Linked DNA regions of Ovis aries. The protein of the gene in region 3 interacts with the protein of the main gene of each other region in a biochemical or structural test. Links are inferred from orthologs where the notes say so. Each region holds a gene or a part of one and is shown on either strand. Other genes may lie near its edges.

Region 1 (4,127 bases), on a different chromosome or scaffold from region 3:
ACACCAAACAGAGAAGGTGGGAGAACAGACAGCTCCCCAGAAACGTGCCATGAAGTAGTAACACAATGTAAAAGCCAGCCAGCGCCTGAACGGGTGCGATCAGTTTTACACCCGTTGGTACAAAGACCTTGTTGACGGTTCCCAGGTCCCCAAAGCACCCATTTGCCCACCAAGTCACTTGTCTGTTCTAACATCTTCCTTAATCTCCCAAACGCCCAGTTAAGCAAAAGATAAAGACAGGTGAAATAAAGTCTCAACAAGCAGAAAAAGTTTTAGTGAAATTATGAACATATGACTGACTACATACATGAAAAGCAAAACAAATGTTTTCTCTTTATAGATCCACATGATTCCACGTTGGTTTGACAGCATGAGAAACTGACAAAGGCATCACACCCCAAGCCGTGAACACACACACTTCCTCCCACGAAGCAGGACAGAACTCGCTACAGTCAGTGTCAGAGTTCCGACAGGCGGACCAGCCCACCACCACGCGTGGCTCTTTTCACCAGCGGTTAAGAGTTGGACCGAATTCCAAGGAAATAAGTTCCTTAAACTATGTCATCTTGAAACTTTTATCAGCTATACCAACCTAGAATTTCTAAAGCTGTAAGAGGAAGGTAAAGGCACAGCGGATGTCTTTGTTCATGCAGGAGCTTGGTTTCTATACATTGTCAAGACTTAGAACAGCCTCATCATCCAAATCAAAAGTTCAAGAGTCTGGCTTTGTTCCCCTCTCCTGTTTGAGGCTCAGTGGCCACAGAGATGGTCACTGTGACTGGGCCAGGGCTGTCCAGGTTCCGATCCTGGCAGCTACCACGCTACAAGCCCTGGCATGAATCTGCCCAGCTCCAGGTTCCTAGTCCACAATGAAAGGCATTTTGCCCAGTCCAAAAGCTACACACACCACAGGCAATACGCTCTAGATGATTTTAGCGGGGCACAGCTTTTATTAAAACACAGTTCTTATTACAGTAAACATAACCACCATATCAGACTCATGACTCTGTGGTATCAAAATTTCCTTCCAAAACAAATTCGTATCTAAGCACAAAAAGTGAGCGGAGAAAAGAAAACACTGATAATAGCCTAGTGATAGGGCAGGTATCCAGGAGCCACGGGAATGGGAACAGAGTCTGCCGGTTCTCCGGGTGTCTGACCAGCCCAGGGACGCTCCTAGGCCATTTCTCTTTCAGATGCACAGAAGCATGAACCACAGACAACTGGGAAAAAACAAACAAAAAAAAGAACCCAAAGCTTAGGATCTGGTGACAGCTTTGGCATTTGCCAGCCATGTGATCGGACATGCATTTGTTAACCTCCTGAGCCTGGGTTTGTGCGTGTCTGATTCTTTGCCACCCCACGGACTAGCCCACCTCCTTGGTCCATGGGATTCTCTAGGCAAGAATACAGGACTGGGCTGCCATTTCCTACTCCAAGGGATCTTCCTGAATCAGGGGCCAAACCTGAGTCTCTTATATCCATCTCCTGCATTACTTGGTGGGTTCTTTACCACTAGCGCCACCTGAAAGCCCAAGCCTCAATTTCCAAACCTGTAAAATGGGGAGCAGGAGGCTGCAGAGGATTAAAAGTAATCAGGCTTTGAACGTGTGCCATAGACAGTGAAATGCCACACAAGTATCCCTTGCTGCACTTCTCAGTTACTTCTCAGTTGCTGGGTGTGTGACTGTCCTCAAATTCCCTCCCCGAGACCTGGGGGTTGGCCTGTGTGGCCATCTCTTTCAAATGTTTCCAGTAAAACTCAAATATTATATGCAATAATCCTAGAATTCTGATTCTTAACCGGAAAACCTAGTCATCTAGAATCATTCCTGGAAACACTTCGGTTTCAGAGCTTTTTTCCTAACAAAATACTTAACCTAAAAGACACCACCATCGCCAGAAGTCAGAACTTCTTTTGCCACAGAAACCTAGAACCTATCTATTTTTCCTCCTGGAAAGAACGAAGGAATCAGCGAGTCAACTCATGAAAAACGTCCGACTTGGTGCTGTAAACCCTAGTCAACGCCTGTTGCTGTGTTAACATGTGTTCTTAGTAAAACTGAGCGAAACGTTAGAGAAAGCACCACTTTGGAAACTCGGGGGCTCCGAACCGCTGAATCAGCATTTCCAGAAACAAAGTGTTCTGGGTTAGGCCTTGTAAACAGCAGCAAAGAGCAAGTTGTGCAACAACGCGTGTTTACTCACTAGCGCTACTTGTTTGGGTCTTTTCTCCGCATCTCTTGAATGAAGCTGGGGACAACATTTGCAAGAAAGCTTTCTCTCCAACGAATGCATCAGAAAGATCCGGGCCCGGGCAAAGTCACCTGTGGCTTCCCTACGTGACCCACCGTCTCACCGAGGCAAATGACAGAAACTTGGCGTGTCTTCCAACCCCAAGACAAGAAAAACACAATAAAAAGTAGAGAATGTCTCATTTCCATAACGCACATGCTCCAGGGCCGTCCTCAGGCAGGCGCGGGGAGAGGCGATCCGGAGGCCGAGAGTTGCATCAGAATCGCCTTCGGAGAACCGCACAGCTCTTATCACATTTCCCCGGCTGGCGGGCCGCTAACCCGCGAACCCTCGACTTGGGGTTAGGCCCCGGGGGAGGGGAAACGGGTCGCCAGCAGAACCAAAGGGAAAGATCCCAGGATCTGGCTCGCTCCAGCTCCTGAGGGTCCGGCCCCACCGCGCGAGCACGGGCGCACCGGGGGCTGCAGGGGCGCGCGGCGCCCACCCTCCAGGCGATCCGGGAGCGCGGCCTTGGCCCCGACCGCCCGGCGGCGCAGCCCCCACCCCGGCCCGGCCAGTGAGCCGCCGGCGTCGGACAGGAGGGCTCCAGAGGGCGCCGCCCGGGCTCCCCGGCTCCGCGGGGTCGCCGACGCCGAGCGCCGCGCCCGGTCCCCGCCCTCGCGCGCCGCAGCCCCCGGCCCGAGGCGACGCCCTTCCGCCCGCCGCGCCCCCGCGGCGCCCGGCGTCCCCGGCCCGGGCGGCCCGCGCGCAGACAATGACGCCGGGACTGCAGCCCGCCCGCCCGCCGGCCACAAAGTAACTTGGCGCCTCGCTCGCCGCCCAACTCCCTACCTGCCACGGCGCCGTTCGCTGCCGCCTCCGCCTGGCCGCCCGCGCCCCTCGGCGCGGCCGGGGCGGCGCGGGTCCCGCGGGGCAAGGGCGGCGCGCAGGGCGGTCCCGACCCCCGCGTGCCGCCGCCCGGGGACCGCGCGCAAACTTTGGCTCCGCGGCTTCCGAGCGCCCGCCCGCCGCGGCGCGCCGCTCGCGCTCCTTCCTGCCGCCTCCCGGCCTCCCCACCCCCTCGATGGGCTTTAAACCCGCCCGGCCCCGCCCGCCGCCGCCGCCGCCGCCGCCGCCTCCGCCTCCGCCGCCTCCGCCTCCTCCCCCGGTCGCTTTTCCTGCTCCTCCTCCCGCCGCCGCCGCTGCTGCCACCGCAGCCCGGACCGCTCGGGGCCGCCAGCGCGGGCAGGGCCGCGGCCTGGGCGCAGGGCGGGTCGCGGAGGGAGCTCGGGGAGCCGGCGGGGTGCGGCGCCGGGCGCGGGGCCGGGCGCTCCCGCAGGTCGCTGCTGCCGGGGGCTGGCACGGGGGACTGGAAGCCGGCAGCTGGGCGTGGGCGCCCGGACCCCTGGTCCCGCTCTTGGGACTCGCGGACGTAGAACCGCGACCACCCAGCCTGGAGCGCCCTCGAAACACACATCAGACCTCTCCTGGAAGGCAATTTGCAAGCGAATTCTTTGAAACTCAAGTTGAAACTGTGCGGCCCCATTCCCCGTCCCGGGCGCAGCGGGAAGACTGGACGGAGAAGCCTGAGGAGCGGCTGCTGCACTGGCTGTGCCTTGGGCGGCGGTTCCGCGTGGGACCGGGGAACCTGGGCTTCAGCGTCCGCCCGCCGCTGGCGGAGTCTGGAGCCTTGACCCCTCGTAGCCACAGTTTCCCTATCTGCGTACCCGCCCCGGAGCGCGCGTGGAGTGGGAGGCCCTGTTTATTTTCTGTATACCAACGGGCCTCAACGTCCTTAGCTTTGCAATAGGCTAATAAGCCCGCCTACGAGTAATGTCCTGAGGGTTAAATGAGATGTTAACTTGTAACATAAAGCGAAAGGTAAGAAGGAA
Region 2 (3,643 bases), on a different chromosome or scaffold from region 3:
CAAATAGACCTCAATTTCTCATTTCCCATCTCTGCTACCAGCACCTTGTCAAAACCATCATCAGGCCTTAGCTGTGTTTATGTGACAGCATCTGTGTAAACTCCCTGCTTCTCCACTTACCTCCCCCTCCCCAGTCAATCCTCTCAACACAGGATAATTTTTTGGGGGGTGGGGGGGCGCCTCACCATGCAGCTTGTGGGATCTTAGCTCTTCAATCAGGGATTCAACCCAGGGCCATGGCAGTGAAAGTGCTGAGTCCTAACCTCTGGACCGCCAGGGAATTCCCAGAATAATCTCTTAAAAATATAAATCAGGTTATGTCACTTCAGTGCTTACAATCCTCCAGTGACTGCCCTGGCATCTTTGGTAAAGTCCGCTCTCCACACCAGGGCCTTCCAGGCTCCAGGGCCCCTGCTGCCTTCCCCAGTCTCTCCTCACCCTTCTCTCCTCCGGGCCAGGGGCCAGGCCCCTGCAGTCTCAGCTCCACCCACTGCAGACCCTTGTTCTTACTCTTTACCAGTTTTTTGAACATCTGGCCCCTTCTGATCCTTCAGGCTTCAGCTTAAACATCCCCTCTGCCAGAAGCTTCCTTGACCACCTTTCTAAAAAAGAACTTCCTTTTTCTTTCTCATCACAGCACCCTTTTTCCCCTTCACAGTGTAGTTTCCCTGCTCATTCACCTATTTATCATTTGTACCCAAAACCAGAATGTAAGGTCCATGAGGACAGGACCTTGTCTAGCTTATTCCCCGCTGCACCCTCAGCACCTCACGTAGTCTCCCACCTAGCTGATCTTTAGTGGGATTGAATTTGTTGGGTGAACACATACAGCAAAATATTTTTATGACTTTTACATACTGTGTAAAATTCTAAGTTCCTTGTTCTGATATCCAAGGTCCCAACAGCCTTTTCTCTGCCATCCCTGTGCTCTAGAACATTTCTTAATACTCTCTCACACTTGACATCCTGGTTATTTGTGCTCTGCTACTATGTCAGTGCACTCCTGTTATCTGTATCCTTAAGACCCAGCTCCTTACCCACCTTCACCACTTGCCACATTAAGACTTCTCTTTAGGAATGAAAAGCCAGCACAAAGGTACTTGCTTAATTTCAAATACACTTTCCCCAATCACTTTAGTCAGAAATGAGGACCAACTGCCTTCTGTTGTATTAGCTGTGAACGTGTGAAAGTCTCCTAGCGCTGATCTACAGTAACTACTCAGTGGCTGCTTGTTGACTGAGTACGCAGATGAATGAACCAGTCACACAAGTGCTGCACCATCTCACAGCCTCCCTCACCGTGGAGTTTTTCTTCTTGCTCTACCCCAACAGGTCTTCTGCTCCCCAGAGCCACCTGCCAAGACCTCTACCCCTGAAGATTTCATCCGCATGACCAAGGGTATCACCATGGCAACCGCCAAGGCCGTTGCCGCTGGGAACTCCTGTCGCCAGGAGGATGTCATCGCCACAGCCAATCTGAGTCGCCGTGCTATTGCAGATATGCTCCGGGCTTGCAAGGTAGAAATCCCGGCGGTGAGGCAGGAGTGTAAGGCAGCTTGAGGGCAGCACATGGTAGGGGAGAACCTGCAGGGACTTGGGAGCTCTTTGGGATCCTAAGGCTAATGTATACTCTGTGCTACAGGAAGCCGCCTACCACCCGGAAGTGGCTCCAGACGTGCGGCTCCGAGCCCTACACTTTGGCCAGGAATGTGCCAATGGCTACCTGGAACTGCTGGACCACGTGCTGCTGGTAAGGCGGGAGGTGTCTGTTCCTCACAGCGGCCTCCCTGAATACACAGGCCTCAGGCCTGCACTCTAATCTTTGGTTCAGATCTCCTCCCCACCCCCCATCTGTTCCCCGAGTATGTTCTTGTTTCCACATCTCCCTTCCTCTGGAGCTCCATCAGTTTGAGCATCTTTGGTTCTCCTACTCACCTCCTCCTCTTTCTCTTGTCTCCTCTCTTCCCGCCTGCCCTCTCCCTCCTCTACCTCCTCATCTCTTCTTTCTTCTCATTTCATCCTTCTCCTGGCTCCTTGTCAGCTGGTGAGTGACACATAGCCTCACTGTCTTCACCATGCATGCAATGTGATGTCTGGCGTGCTCCTGGATAGACTGTGTACTGTTTCAGGCTGTGGTGTGGAGAGGCCTGGGGTAGGGGTGGCGGGAGGGGGCGGGCTCTCCCCTGTTTCAAGGGTCAAGGTAGAAGCTGAGATCTGATGCTCTCTGCCCCCTGCCCCCTCTTCCCCAGACCCTGCAGAAGCCAAGCCCAGAATTGAAGCAGCAATTGACAGTGCACTCAAAGCGTGTGGCTGGATCAGTCACTGAACTCATCCAGGCTGCTGAGGCCATGAAGGGTAAGGGGTGACCAGGGGCAGGGAGGGAAGGGAAACCCTTGTTCTGGGGAGAACTCTGCTTCAGGGAGGCTGCTCAGAGATGGCCTCTGCAGAGTCTTCACAGATGCCAGGGCCTGGTGACAGTAAGCACACTGCCCGGTGCTCCTGATCTCCCTTAGCCCCTTCCCTCCTTGCTTTGTCCACCAGGAACAGAATGGGTGGACCCAGAGGACCCCACAGTCATTGCTGAGAATGAACTCCTGGGAGCCGCGGCCGCCATTGAGGCTGCGGCCAAGAAGCTGGAGCAGCTGAAGCCCCGGGCCAAACCCAAGGTCAGCCCTGCTCCCTTCTTCTCCCCTCCGCTCAGAGTGTCTGCACCTTCAGCCTCCCCTTACCCTGCATCTCTCTCTGCCACTTCTGTCTCTTTTTTGCAGGAGGCGGACGAGTCCTTGAACTTTGAGGAGCAGATACTGGAAGCTGCCAAGTCCATCGCAGCAGCCACCAGTGCCCTGGTGAAGGCTGCCTCAGCTGCGCAGAGGGAACTGGTGGCCCAGGGGAAGGTAAGGACTTGAATACCAGCAGCTTTGCCTTCCACATGGCATGATGGTCTCCTCCGGGAGGCTCTCAGGAGGGCACAAGTCTCAGCAGACTCCTGCCCTCCTCCACAGGTGGGCGCCATTCCAGCCAACGCACTGGATGATGGACAGTGGTCCCAGGGCCTCATCTCTGCTGTGAGTGTACAACTGCCCCTGTGCCCCTCTGCACTTCAGGGACTTGAGAGGCTGGAGAGGGGATGGACCAGGGCAGGAGGCATGTTCTAACCTAATCTCCCTGCTTCAGGCCCGGATGGTGGCCGCGGCCACCAACAACCTGTGTGAGGCGGCCAATGCAGCTGTCCAAGGCCACGCCAGCCAGGAGAAGCTCATCTCATCGGCCAAGCAGGTCGCCGCCTCCACAGCCCAGCTCCTCGTAGCCTGCAAGGTCAAGGCCGACCAGGACTCTGAGGCAATGAAGAGGCTTCAGGTGAGGCCCCCTGGCCCATCTCATGTGCCTTGAGCTGAGCTGCTTTCAACTGTCACCCCTGACATGCTTTCTGCGAGGGAGATGGGGGCCTTGCTCAGCTGGGACCTTCCCAAGTTCTCATCTCACACTGCCTGCTCTCTCTCTCTGCCAAGGCTGCCGGCAACGCAGTGAAGCGAGCCTCAGACAACCTGGTGAAGGCAGCCCAGAAGGCTGCAGCCTTTGAAGAACAGGAGAATGAGACCGTGGTAGTGAAGGAGAAGATGGTCGGGGGCATTGCCCAGGTAAG
Region 3 (3,643 bases):
CTCGGGCACAGCCCGGCCACTGGCACTCGGCCTCACGAAGGGACGCGGGTGACAGGAAGACCCGGAGATAGACGGTAAGCAGTGGGAAGCCGCCGTCTGCAGAGAGACAAGTCAGGCCCCACCGGGGCGTCAGCCACACCTGCCTAGCTGGGACCTGAATGGGGAGAGGGCAGAAGCTCGGGGCTGGTGCAAAGCCTAGTTCTCACCAAGGCCTGCAGGGCTCTGCTGGGCACCCCGCCCTGGCCTCCACCTCCTGCTTGCCCCGCTACGGCCCTGGACTTGGGATCTGGCAGCCTCAGGGCCCTGAGGCTCTGCTCCCTTGTCTGGGGGTGCCTCACAGGCCCACCTCTCTGGTTATTCTGAGTTTCAGTTCAAATACCCTTCCTCAGAGAGGTGCCCTGAGCCCTGGGTCTAAGATGGAGCCCTTCCCCAAGGAGGGCTCTTGGCACCTCAGGCGACCTCCCTTCTCTCCCTCACCCACTGCCCCAGGCACTTTCTTTCTTTTCTCACTTTTAAAAACACTACAGGGGTGGGATTGGGTGGCAGGTGGGAGAGAGTTTCAGGAGGGAGGGGACGTATGTATACCTGTGGCTGATTCATTGTGATGTATGGCAGAAGCCAACACAATATTGTAAAGTAATTATCCCTCAATTAAAAATAAATAGAAATAAAACACTTATTCTATTCTATTTTTGCCCGTGCTGCTGCTTGTGGGATCTTAGTCCCCTGACCAGGGACTGAACCCAGGACCTCAACAATGAACGTGCAGAGTCCTAACCACTGGACCCAGGGAATACCATGCCACCCCTGCAGAGACACAGACTTCCCCAGCACCTCGAGAGGGGATTTCTGGCAAGTTCCATCATGGAGGCACTATAGCAAACCCCTCCAACCCGTCTGGATCTCAGCTGGGGCAGGGGCTCTTCCTGGGCCTTCTATCTCAGCCCTAGGGAAGTGTCCCCGCCTCACATCTGCTCCTCCCATATTCATCAGTCCTTGCTTCTCCCTAGCCTGTCCTCTGTTGCTCCAGTTCCCTGCTGTGGTTAATAATTCTCCATGTAAACTTTCTCTGTTCTAATTACCATGATTTCTCTCCTGACTAGAGCTGGCAGGTGCATGAGGACAGAACACGCCTCCTATGAAACTCAGACCCTCGGCAAATTCCACTCTGGCAGTACTGTTCACAGCACAGTGCCTGGCTCTCAGCACTCACAGGAGTTCAGGGCTGGCGTGAGGGTCCAGGGAGGCCCCGTCTGTGGAGCAGGAGGTGGGGCTGTGATCACCATTTGGTGCCGCAAGGCAGCACTCTGCTCCACAAACACCCTCCTCCCAGTGCCAGGGCTGCACGTGGGCTTCGCTCCAGCTTGGACCCCTGCTCTGAGCAGCCGGCCAGGCCTTCCTCCTGTCCACTTTCCTCCCTGGCACCAGGCCCCAGTCCTCACCAGGTGCCAAGGACAGCCTGCTGCTGACGGCAAGGTGGGTTCTCCGTGCAAACAGCTGCTTCTCCACCAAGTTCCAGACCATCCGCTAAATCAACATCTTGGGACTTTTCTAGCCTTTCTTAACTCTTCTCTCACAACCCCACATCTCTGTTAATCCAACTAGAAAAGACATTTGGAGCCAGCACGGAGTGAGCCCCTCAAGTCCTACACATAAGTTCTCCAAAATCCCAACAGCCTCAGAAGGCCTGAGGGTCCTCAGTGGTCCTCAAGCTCATCCTGGCTCCCTCACGGGCTGAACAAAGAGGACAGCCCCACCTCACTCCCTAGGAACTGTGTGATGGGCGCTGAGGAGGGACAAGGAGAGGGCAGGGCAGGGCGTGGGCAGTGAGGCGTGTGGGGGTGGGGTCAGGGCCCCCCCTTACTGCGGATGTTGAGCTTCTCCCAGGAGCTGTGGTCCAGGCTCTGGTTAAGGTAGAGAAGCCCCGTGTCCTCCTGGATGCGGACCCAGTCGTTCTCGTGCAGCCGCGTGCGGTAGGCGCCATAGAGGTGCTGGCCCAGGCGGAAGCTGGGCACCTCCTCCGGCACATCCCGCAGGGCGTGGACATAGAGCAGGGGCGTGCCGGCTGGCTGGTCCACGTATAGCTTCTCCCAGTAAGCGTCCCTGGAGAAGTAGAGTCCCAGCGGGGCTGTGGGAGGCAGGGAAACACGTGAGGGAGGGAGGGAGGGAAGACCACGGTGATCGAGACGGCAAAGCCCAGCAGCCCTCCCAGGCAGATCAGCTTTCCCAGCGGCTTGACTTCACATTTTAGTAATAGCTTCCTTGTGGGCCAAAAAGAAAACCTTACTAATTTAAAATTCTGATCTAAGTAGGTCTTTCTCGTCTGTAGTCCTAAGAACATCAACACACAGTTATCTGTAGAGCTAAACACTAGCTGCAAATACACTGCTTTAAAACAGAAAAAGGAGGGCACGGGCGCGCGGCGACTCTCCGCCTCCCGCCCCCACTGGCCCGGCGCGCGTGGCCGTGTCCGCGTCCGCCGCGTGCGCGTGCCGCGCCCAACGGCCACGCGGGGCGGGGGCGAGCCGCGGCCGCCGCCCGGGCCTCAGGGTGATCTTGGGGGCCTGGGGCCCCGCGCGGCCGGATCGTCAGCTTTTCCCGTTCGCTTTCCCCGCGCGCTAGCGAGGCCTTCCTCCTTTGGTGGGGGCTCCTCCTAGACCAGAGGAGGCTTTTCTTTGATGGTGGTGGTGGTGCGGGAGGGGGGAGGTGAGGCACGGAAGTGCGGTGAGAATTTTTCGACACTGGAAGCCGAAATGCTGCTCCTAGGTTTTCGAATTTTTTTACAGGGAGTAAAGGGGCAGCGAGTTCATGGGTATTGAGTGATGATAATAACTAACATTTTTCTAAGCCCTCACTATGTGCCAGGCACTGTGCGGAGCAACTTGTGTTTCTTCTTTACTCCTGAAACGCCCCGATGAGGCTGAATTGACCAAAGCAATGGTTATGGAGAAGCCTAGTCCCCTGCTGGTCGGGCGGGAATTTGTGAGACAGTATTATACACTGTTGAACCAGGCCCCAGACATGCTACACAGGTTTTATGGAAAGAACTCTTCTTATGTCCATGGGGGATTGGATTCAAACGGAAAGCCAGCAGATGCCGTCTATGGACAGAAAGAAATCCACAGGAAAGTGATGTCACAAAACTTCACCAATTGCCACACTAAGATCCGCCACGTTGATGCTCATGCTACTCTGAATGACGGTGTGGTGGTCCAGGTGATGGGCTTGCTCTCTAATAACAACCAGGCTTTAAGGAGATTCATGCAGACCTTTGTCCTTGCTCCTGAGGGCTCTGTTGCAAATAAGTTCTATGTTCACAACGATATCTTCAGATACCAAGATGAAGTCTTTGGTGGCTTCATCACTGAACCTCAGGAGGAATCTGAAGAAGAAGTAGAGGAGCCTGAAGAAAGACAGCAGACACCTGAGGTGGTACCTGATGATTCTGGAACTTTTTATGATCAAACTGTCAGCAATGACTTAGAAGAACATTTAGAAGAAGCTGTTGCTGAACCAGAGCCTGAACCGGAACCAGGACCAGAGCAGGAACCTGTATCTGAAGTCCAGGAGGAAAAGTCTGAGCCAGTATTGGAAGAAACTGCTCCTGAGGATGTTCAGAAGAGTTCTTCTCCAGCACCAGCAG

What was found.
Region 1: the proteins of RET (region 3) and GRB10 form a complex in vitro, tested with the Homo sapiens proteins (2 studies listed by BioGRID). The link is inferred for Ovis aries from reciprocal best matches to the Homo sapiens genes RET and GRB10.
Region 2: the proteins of RET (region 3) and TLN1 interact in a surface display test, tested with the Homo sapiens proteins (2 studies listed by BioGRID and IntAct, with this or other methods). The link is inferred for Ovis aries from reciprocal best matches to the Homo sapiens genes RET and TLN1.

What each region holds. Positions count from the first base shown.
Region 1 is NC_056057.1:5,911,201-5,915,327, reverse strand, and holds the start of GRB10 (growth factor receptor-bound protein 10), read right to left. Parts: upstream 2,881-4,127; 5' UTR 2,452-2,880; exon of another isoform or gene 2,209-2,451; intron 1-2,208.
Region 2 is NC_056055.1:52,839,130-52,842,772, forward strand, and holds part of TLN1 (talin-1), read left to right. Parts: intron 1-1,332; coding exon 1,333-1,518; intron 1,519-1,642; coding exon 1,643-1,750; intron 1,751-2,249; coding exon 2,250-2,355; intron 2,356-2,541; coding exon 2,542-2,666; intron 2,667-2,768; coding exon 2,769-2,894; intron 2,895-3,002; coding exon 3,003-3,065; intron 3,066-3,174; coding exon 3,175-3,357; intron 3,358-3,509; coding exon 3,510-3,638; intron 3,639-3,643. UniProt on the Homo sapiens protein: High molecular weight cytoskeletal protein concentrated at regions of cell-matrix and cell-cell contacts. Involved in connections of major cytoskeletal structures to the plasma membrane.
Region 3 is NC_056078.1:12,821,150-12,824,792, reverse strand, and holds part of RET (proto-oncogene tyrosine-protein kinase receptor Ret), read right to left. Parts: coding exon of another isoform or gene 2,857-3,643; exon of another isoform or gene 2,488-2,856; intron 2,129-2,487; coding exon 1,865-2,128; intron 97-1,864; coding exon 1-96. Other genes in the region: ras GTPase-activating protein-binding protein 1-like, read left to right, coding at 2,857-3,643. UniProt on the Homo sapiens protein: Receptor tyrosine-protein kinase involved in numerous cellular mechanisms including cell proliferation, neuronal navigation, cell migration, and cell differentiation in response to glia cell line-derived growth family factors (GDNF, NRTN, ARTN, PSPN and GDF15).